Caenorhabditis elegans: one gene and its partner. The protein of the gene in region 1 purifies or fractionates together with the protein of each later gene. This does not show direct contact. Each region holds a gene or a part of one and is shown on either strand. Other genes may lie near its edges. The genes, in order: knl-2 and hcp-3.

Region 1 (5,741 bases):
ATTATAGGATACAAATATGCGATCGAGTGCCTGAATGCTGGACGTATCGGAATCGGAGCACAAATGTTAGGATTGGCTCAAGGCTGTTTCGATCAAACAATTCCATATCTTCAACAAAGAGAACAGTTCGGGCAGAGACTTATAGATTTCCAGGTATTATTTGTCAAAAGACTGAAATTAAAATATTGTAATTATCAAAAATTTTCAGGGAATGCAACACCAAATCGGACAAACACGAATGGAAATTGAAGCTGCTCGTCTTCTGGTCTACAACGCTGCTCGCATGAAGCAGAATGGACTTCCATTCGTTCGTGAAGCAGCCATGGCCAAATTGTTTGCATCACAAGTTGCCACTACAGCCACTTCGAAATGTGTGGAATGGCTTGGAGGAGTTGGATTCACCAAGGAATTCCCAGTTGAAAAATTCTACCGCGACTCAAAAATTGGAACAATTTACGAAGGAACGTCCAACATTCAGCTCAATACCATTGCCAAGCTCGTTGACATCGAATATCAACAAAAGGCTTAATTGATTATAATAATCATCTCCTACGGCGTTTTCAGTAGTGAACAATCGAACGTATTTATTTCTATTCGTTTATATTTTTCAGAATGAACAATTTGCAACTTAGTATCGAGTTAATATTTTACCAAACTAGTATAAAAAGGAAAAATTCATCATTTACAGTTATAAAGAATAAGTGCAGTAGAATAATTCCATGCACAGAGATTAGTAGATGGATGTGTCTTCTTCACGCATATCATCATCGTCATCATTGTCTTCATTTTCGTCGTCTTCGTGTATTGTTGTTCCACGATTAATAATTTTCAACGCCTTCTGAGTTCCCTTTTCTAACGAAATACTTGTATTCTTGTTACCACGATACTGCAAGATATTTAGTTGCTTGCATGAAATTTCCCAATCTTTTTTAAACCTACCGTAGAGTTGTTCATAGATGAGGACTTTTTCAGTCTGGAACTAGGTCTCGCTTGCATCATGGAAAGGTGCTGAACGTATTTGAAGTTCGTTTCAATATCCTTTGCCTTCGTTTGTTCTAGACGCGGTGAATTGAATGTGGAATTGTTTCTGAAAAATTAATGCTTTTTTAAAACTAATTATTTTGTATAAATTTACCCTCTGCTCATTGGAGAGTCTTCAACAGGTTTTGGCATAATTGAAGCTCTTGTTCCTCCTCTCTTCTTTGTAACTATTGGTGTTCTGAGAGCGAGCAATGATTGATCAGCAGCCACATCTTCTGGTTGATAGTCTTCCATTGACTCAACTCCACTTTGCAGATCTTCAGCTCTATGATTTCCACCTTCTCTCAGTTCCTCATGCATCTTTACATTTTCCTTCACTCTGGCCACAGCTCCACGTCTTCTTTTCTGTTCAACTTCTTCGACTTGTTTCAACACTTCTTCATTTTGCTCTGGTTCTACCCATTTGAGTCTTGTGATAGCAATCTGTCTGACTACTTCTGGTTCAACGACACCTTCCTTTGCCAAGAGGCGTAAAACTTCTGTCCAATCTGCATCACTTGCAGAAGGCTTCTTCAACGCAATCACACGTTTCAAACGATCCAGATCTTGTTTTCTCCATGTAATTTTCTTTGCAACTGGAGTTACACAAGAACGACGAGGACGATTACATGCTATACTATCATTGAGATCACGGTTATCTTCCAAAGATGCTCTCTTCTTTTTGCGAGCTTGGGCTGGTGACTTAGTTGAATTAGCCGGTTTTGAGCGCGTGGCCTGCTGAAAGCTATATGATATTTTCTTGCGACGAGGACGTAATACAGGAGGCATCTTGACTAATAGCAAATTAGAAAATGAATATTATTTGTCAGGTTTTTTTCACGGTCGTTTAACCAAATAAATAATTAAAACCACTCACCTTTTTCACAAATTTATCCTTTCTCGCATTGCTTCTCTTTGGTATTCCGTCTCCAAACATCATTGAATTATCCAGAAGCTCTTGGTTTTCTATGTCCCATTCATTTAAAGACTCTTCAGCATCGGACGAATTAGATCTATGACGATATGATGAAGATGACGCCTTTTGTGATTTTTGAAGACGATTCCGTAATTCTTTCTCACGACGTACAATCGCATTCAATTTTTCTTCGTCCTCGCCACTTCTGGAGTTTGCATGATTTCGCCGTCTGCCATAGTCATTGTAATCACGAGGTCCTCTAGGATCTCTGTATTCATCACCATGTCTACGATGTTCTTCTTCGAAACGAACAGACTGAAATTATTGAATGTCCTCAAAACGTCATATATTCTTTTACTTACTCTTCCAGAAGAAGAAGACGCGTCTCTTCCACGGTATCGTTTCGAGTCACCTTGGATATCAGCATCATAATAATCTCTACGCCTCGCACCATCGTCATGACGGCGACTGTACTCGAAATCATCACGCACGATGCTCTGTAATAATTTTAAAACCAATGACAAATTAACTGATTAATACGAACTCTTTTTCTACTCATTCTTGATTCATCTTCGTGTCTGCGATATGTGGCGTTATGTCTGCTCCATCTACTGTTATCATGTTCGTATCTCTGAGAGTATCGAGATTGTTCATAACCGTCTCTAGATGAAGAACGATGGCGTGGTTCTGGTGATGGTGATGATACATTCCGCCTTCCTGGTTTTCGTACCCGTCCTGGGGTGCTTTCAAAATGAAAAGTATCAAGAACAGAGTCAACATCTGCGAATATGTCGACATTCGAAGCTGCTAAGTTACGTACACTCTTGGATGGAGGAGCCTTTGGAACCGCAAACAAGTCTGCATCCGATGCAAACTGAGCATTCCGTGCAGCTGGACGCGGTGGTGGTGGTTGTACCGCTTGAACGCTATCTTGAGATTTTTGTGTTGGTGGAATTTGATTATTGGCCCCGTCAGCCAACCGTTGTTTTTGTTGAGGCGTTGAAGAAGCAATAGGACCTTGTTTTCTCTGAAGATGACAAAATATTGTTTCCAACATAAATTTTTACTTACCACTGGAGTTTGCTCGAAGATGAATACTTTTTTCGCGCCACCATTGTCGTGTCCCCGTGTGAATCTTATCGGAGTGATTGGCTCGCCGTTCTGAGATTTCGGAGCACGAAGGGTGTAATTAGCTTCTTCCAGCTCTTCCTCTTCTTTTCGCCTTCTTTCAGCCTCAGCTTCAGCATCTCGTCGTTGTTTTTCTTCTTCTAATCTTCTCTCACGTTCCTTTGTTTGCTGTTCTTCACGCTCACGTCTGTTCCTTTCTTTCTCGTTTTCGGAATTTTTCTGGCATCCTCCAGTTAGCTCGGTTTCATCTGCCAACGTAACAATTGGTTCTGTTCTAGTTCTAATTGGTTCTTTTGGAGCCTGTTGGATAGGGCGAAGTGCGCTTCTTTGGTTGGCTGACATGCAGGAATAGATAAGGTCGGCCCAATTTTCAGGAATTCCATTTGAAAATTCATCAATAATTCTACTAGGCATTCCCATTTTTTGTTGATATTCCCGATCAATCTGTCCGACCAAGTCGAAGAAACGTCCGGAAACATCGAAAAGCAACGTAGAAGTGAAGCGTCTCTGAATATTTAATGAAAATTGTTGACGAATATGTTTCTCGACTTACACAAATAAATTCGGAACAAACTTTCTGCATCATAGTGCCTTCTTCATTTCTCACAAAACCTTCGAGTTTGAAACTGGTCGCGTTAAACTGTAAAAATATTGAAATCATGAAAACTTAAAAAAACTAGACAGTTACCTTCATGGACCACAAGTTGAGACGAATGATTTCGCTATCAAGTACATTTTGTACTCGAAGAGGAACAATTTCCGTATCACCCATTAGGCATAAAATACCGTTTATTGGAAGAAAAACAGAAATCGGAATGAGATGTCTCTCTGATTTGAATGCAACGCCTTGGCGGCAAGTGCAACGGAGCGTGTTTGCCTGGAGTCGTTGCAAAATAAAAACTGGGGAATACTTTAATTGCTCAAGAATTAGTTAGAAAAAAAATGGTAATAGCTTGAATATTTGGCTTTGAGTAGTATAAACGGTTTATTTATAGTTTTATAAAATAATTGTTCCAAAAAATCTCTAATTACACTGCTTGAGATAATGAGATATCAGTGAATCTGTGTTCCATGATTTTTACATTAATTTTATCCGCAAGGTGTCACCATTGAACATATTTGAAACAATATTCTTCGAAGCCATTCTCAATATTTAATTTGTTTTTAAAGAGCTTTATAATGAAAATAAATGAAAAATATCGACAATTCATGCTTTTATTAATTTTTCCAAGTCTACTCACTTAAATCACATTTTTCTCCATGATCATCGATCGATATGATTGTTTTCTCCGTATTACAATTGTTTGTTCCTACGATTTTGCCCTAGATTCTGCAAAAGCATTAGTCATTCACAATTCTCTATGTCCGCTCACCGCCCGTCCATTCTAAAGTGGGCGATGATGATTTCGCAATACTCTTTCTCTTCCTATGAACAAACATTCTTTCTTCAATATATTCTTACTGCCATTCTTACAATCCTAAGTGTTGATCGGTCGATAGCCATTCCGATTCCTACTCAAGCTAAAGTCAAGTTGTTCTCACAATCATTCAATAATTCTACATATATGTACATAGCTTCGGGAATTATTTATTCCATACTTTTCCAGCTAAATTGAAGGTTAAAAAGTATACCATAAAAACATATCGATTCCAGGATCAAATTATTCCATGCAGCATGGAATGTGAAAAAACTTCAGATGATTCTGAAAAGTCATAATTTTCGATTCGTTAATTAATTTCGTTAATATGAAGTTAATTCTAAATAGGTGGGAAAAAACTATTATTCAAATTTTCATGAACAGATTAGCTTGAAGTTTTGTGAAAAGGTTTTAATATTAATTTTCGCAATAATTTTGTTTTAAACTCAGAATGATTCATGCCGCTTGAACTTTTTCTTTTCATTTTTTGTTGAACCTTCTCCCACCGGAAACATAAAAACACATGATCCAACTACCACCACTAAGCTGTCAACACTTTGCCCTTTGCTTTCGCCAAGCTCTTGTGAAGCAGCTCATGTCTTTTTTCTTTTTCATCCTTCCAACAACGCGCGCTCTCTCTCTCTTTCTCCGTCTCTATTCCTTTTCTCGTTGTCTCGGTTCCATCGATCTCCCATTCAACATACGGCCGAGGCGCCCTCTCTTGTCTGTATCTCTGGTCTCTCTATCATCTAGAGAATGAGTCCTTTTCTTTCTCCACCATCTCATCAAATTAAACGTCTATTTCGGGGGTTTTGTCTATCTAGTAGAGGTCCAACCACACTAGCCTTCAAAAATTTCACCACGCCCAATGCCCTCCACCACTGAGAATTGACCCTTGTCAACAACCTTGTCTTCTGAATTTTTGATGACAGAGGCAACGGCTTCTTTTGATTTTTGAAGTTTTGAGATTGCGACTTCCTTTTCATCATTGACTCATTTTTTTCGATAATCAAAAATTATACACTACGAGGGAGCGATGTTCTCTTTAATTTTTTTTTGCTGTAGCTTCTTTTAATTTTCAAAACAATTTATCAAAACATAGCTTTCTGAAATCACCCTGAAATTTCAGCTGAAACTTATTATTTGAAAAAATATTAGAAATGTATTTTTTAACTTCAAAAAATCTAGCACATTTTGATATTCACCTATCATAATTATGAGTTAGTGTTCCTATTGTTTTTATATCAATTAATATGTTC
Region 2 (3,511 bases), on another chromosome or scaffold:
TGTTCAATCTTTTTTTGGGCAGAATGTAGAAAAGAGAGAGACAATACTGCAAAAGTGATATTGAAGAGGTTTCCGTGTGTGTGTGTGTGTTGGTGTTTTGAAAATTCTAAAGACACAGAATTGGAAAGGAAAATGAATCAACACGGAACACGTACACTTTTTTTTGGAAACAAGTTTAGTATTAACTTTGCAAAACATGTCATGTCTATCGTTCTATCGGGATAATGGTATTTGAAAAGAAATAAAAAATAAAGAAAGAAACCAATCAGCGTTTCCGGACTCCGCCCTTTTTGTCTGATTGGTGGAAAAGTGTGCGGAGCAATTTGCTAATTGGTATTGCAGTTCTTGTTTTGGAGGGAATTCAAATTCAAACAGAGCGATTAGCCGAATTTTTTGGCATTTTAGACTTTTTTGGTATTTTAAAATTATAAAAGTTGGCTTATATGTTTTCAACAAGCTTCGGAAAGCTCATCGAAATAAAATAGGTTTGCTAGTTACGAGCCTTTCCTGAATCACTTGGTGTCAGGATCAAGTGTTTCATTTTTCGATTTTTCGCTGTTTTGATGGGAAAAAACATGGAAAAAAGCGGTAATTGAGACGTAGTTTCCAACCATTGTCACTCGGTTAGCAGGCACACTTTTCCGGCCGAAAAATTTTTTGAATTTTTTTAATATCATATATAAAAAATCCTATTTAAAACTATAGATCAGTTATGAGACGTCTCATGAGACCACGTGATTCGAATTGAAAACTTGTGCTATGTCATTGCAGTAGACTCGGCTTATCGAACACTGGATTACCAGGTCCAAATATAAATTTATTATAATTTTTTTGCAGCGAAGTTTTAAGCGTTCTTCGATTATAAGAGAATATTAGCTCTAATTATTATTTCTAGACCTGCTTGAATAATCGCCTTCCGCGCAAGCGGAAGTTGCTGGCGCATCTCTCGTGTTACTTGCACATTTTAGTTTTTCAAAGCGCGCGGAAGCGCGAAAATTTGGTTTTTCTTTTCTAGAATTTTCTTTTGTCTGTTGATGGTGACTCTCAGATTATTGTCACCTAAAATTAGGAATTATTTTGATTTTTTTTCTTTTTTTTTCCTTTTTGTATCAGACTATTTTTACATTTTTGTGTGTTAAAGCTCCAGAGTGTCGTGAAAAACACCGAATCATTGTCTTCTCCGGCGAATATTTGTTTTTTCACTGCACTTTCCAAAGTTATCTCGATAAAAAATTATACAGCTAATCTCATATTATATATTATCGCTGTATGCGAGACACAGCCCAAGGCAGTCCAAGTTTCGTGAAGTTTTGATGGAATATTTATGAAGAATCGTTTTTTTTTCGAAAAAAACAACACAATTGTTCAATCAGCTGAACTAAATTTTTATAAGACCCAAATATTGATTAATTAGGCGACCCCCGGGGTTGAGTCCGTCATTTATGTTGTTTTGTGTGCACTTTAGCGTGATGTCGTCTGCGTATTTCCCTGCGTCTCTCGCCGCCAATCGTTACTTATTTAAACTGCGTTCGCATTTATTGCTTCTTTAATTCCTTTTTAACCTTCAAACAAATCGTCTTAATTTAGCTTCAGTTTTCTAAATTTTATATTTTATCAGGATAATCTTCGAACAATGGCCGATGACACCCCAATTATTGAGGAAATCGCCGAGCAAAATGAGAGCGTCACAAGGATCATGCAACGTCTCAAACATGACATGCAAAGGTAAGTGATGATTTTTGTTTTCGTGCTACAAATTAATGTCTGCTGTTTCAGAGTCACTTCAGTGCCGGGATTCAACACAAGCGCCGCAGGTGTCAACGATTTGATCGACATTCTGAACCAGTATAAGAAGGAGCTTGAGGATGATGCAGCCAACGACTACACTGAAGCGCACATCCACAAAATTCGATTGGTCACAGGCAAACGGAATCAATATGTCTTGAAGTTGAAGCAAGCCGAAGACGAATATCACGCGCGAAAAGAGCAAGCTCGGAGAAGAGCTTCGTCTATGGATTTCACGGTTAGTTTCAATTTTGTATGATTTCAAACAACATAAAATTTATTTCAGGTCGGCAGAAATTCCACGAATCTTGTCGATTACTCCCACGGCCGTCATCATATGCCCTCATACCGTCGACACGATAGCTCCGACGAAGAAAACTATTCTATGGATGGAACAAATGGCGATGGAAATAGAGCTGGCCCATCGAACCCCGATCGTGGTAATAGAACTGGCCCATCGAGCTCCGATCGCGTGCGGATGAGAGCCGGAAGGAACAGAGTCACCAAAACGAGACGTTATAGACCGGGCCAGAAGGCATTGGAAGAGATCCGCAAGTACCAAAAAACTGAAGACCTTCTGATTCAAAAGGTATACAATTTTTACTTTATTTAAACTATATTAAAACAATTCCAAATTTCAGGCTCCGTTCGCACGCCTCGTCCGCGAAATTATGCAGACTTCCACTCCATTTGGCGCCGACTGCCGTATTCGTTCTGACGCCATCAGTGCTCTTCAAGAAGCGGCGGAAGCATTTTTGGTCGAAATGTTCGAAGGATCGTCTCTTATATCCACCCATGCGAAACGTGTCACACTCATGACAACGGATATTCAGTTATACAGACGTCTCTGCCTTCGACATCTCTGATAACAATATTTGCAATACTCATTTTTCGATCTTCAAGCCATATTTATCTCATCAATTTTAGCGCTGTTTGATCTTTTGTGTACCGTGAACACGTTTACTATTTGTCAAATAATAAAGATTCATTACTTGTAAATGAGAACATTTTATTTAATCACTTGTTCGAACTAGCTTTTCCGAAAATATGAATAGCTCGAAGCTTCTGATAGACTCCTTCGCAGCATCTTTGTACAATATCCGTGTTCGGATTCTGTTTGGCCCAGTGATAAATTGCTCTGAAATTGACCACGTAAATAAGCCTTTTCTACTTTCAAGAATCCAACCTAACAATATTAACAGCATGCGAGAGATTTCCGAGTTGTGCTTCTGCGAGGGCGGTATACAGGTAGCATCGTGCAAGAATAACTGGATCTCCATATTTTTTCGCTAAGTTGATTTGATGAGCAGTAATTTTTGCAGCGACTTTCGCCTGAAAAGCTAGCGTTAAACTAAAGTGTAAACTGATAACTTACATAATTTGCATCGAAATCTCCCATAGCTGAATAAGCGCCACCTAGAGTAGACAAGTTCCACATGAGCTTTTCGAGATCAAGCATGTATCGGAAATGGTGTTTCAAACGTCTTTCCCAAGCATAATCGAGATTTTGTGCCGGATTTTTCACTTGGATGTTGACAAGAAGTTTCTGAAGCTTAAATATAATAACTTCTGGCAATAGAAGATAAATTAGTTACCTTATCGACGGGAATATTATAGAAGGCACGTATTTGAGCAAACGAATATTCTTCACGACACTGGAGAATATTCAAAAATCCGTACAAATCGTCCAAATTCGTGAATTCGAATACTAGTGATTGGGTACCTG

Evidence for each region.
Region 2: the proteins of knl-2 (region 1) and hcp-3 purify together in Caenorhabditis elegans (affinity purification with western blotting, with the first as the bait; one study listed by BioGRID). This does not show direct contact.

Annotation. Positions count from the first base shown.
Region 1 is NC_003279.8:6,459,086-6,464,826, reverse strand, and holds knl-2 (Kinetochore null protein 2), read right to left. Parts: upstream 3,950-5,741; 5' UTR 3,837-3,949; coding exon 3,753-3,836; intron 3,705-3,752; coding exon 3,618-3,704; intron 3,572-3,617; coding exon 3,008-3,571; intron 2,964-3,007; coding exon 2,481-2,963; intron 2,434-2,480; coding exon 2,299-2,433; intron 2,252-2,298; coding exon 1,898-2,251; intron 1,759-1,897; coding exon 1,136-1,758; intron 1,088-1,135; coding exon 940-1,087; intron 887-939; coding exon 731-886; 3' UTR 541-730; downstream 1-540. Other genes in the region: acdh-3 (Short/branched chain specific acyl-CoA dehydrogenase, mitochondrial), read left to right, coding at 8-153, 209-529. UniProt on the Caenorhabditis elegans protein: Required for the recruitment of hcp-3, hcp-4, knl-1, bub-1 and lin-53 to kinetochores, kinetochore assembly, chromosome condensation and chromosome segregation in meiosis and mitosis.
Region 2 is NC_003281.10:9,614,576-9,618,086, reverse strand, and holds hcp-3 (Histone H3-like centromeric protein hcp-3), read left to right. Parts: upstream 1-1,616; 5' UTR 1,617-1,633; coding exon 1,634-1,725; intron 1,726-1,776; coding exon 1,777-2,023; intron 2,024-2,071; coding exon 2,072-2,374; intron 2,375-2,426; coding exon 2,427-2,651; 3' UTR 2,652-2,781; downstream 2,782-3,511. Other genes in the region: F58A4.6 (DUF4807 domain-containing protein), read right to left, coding at 2,803-2,923, 2,972-3,117, 3,161-3,331, 3,381-3,508. UniProt on the Caenorhabditis elegans protein: Histone H3-like variant which exclusively replaces conventional H3 in the nucleosome core of centromeric chromatin at the inner plate of the kinetochore.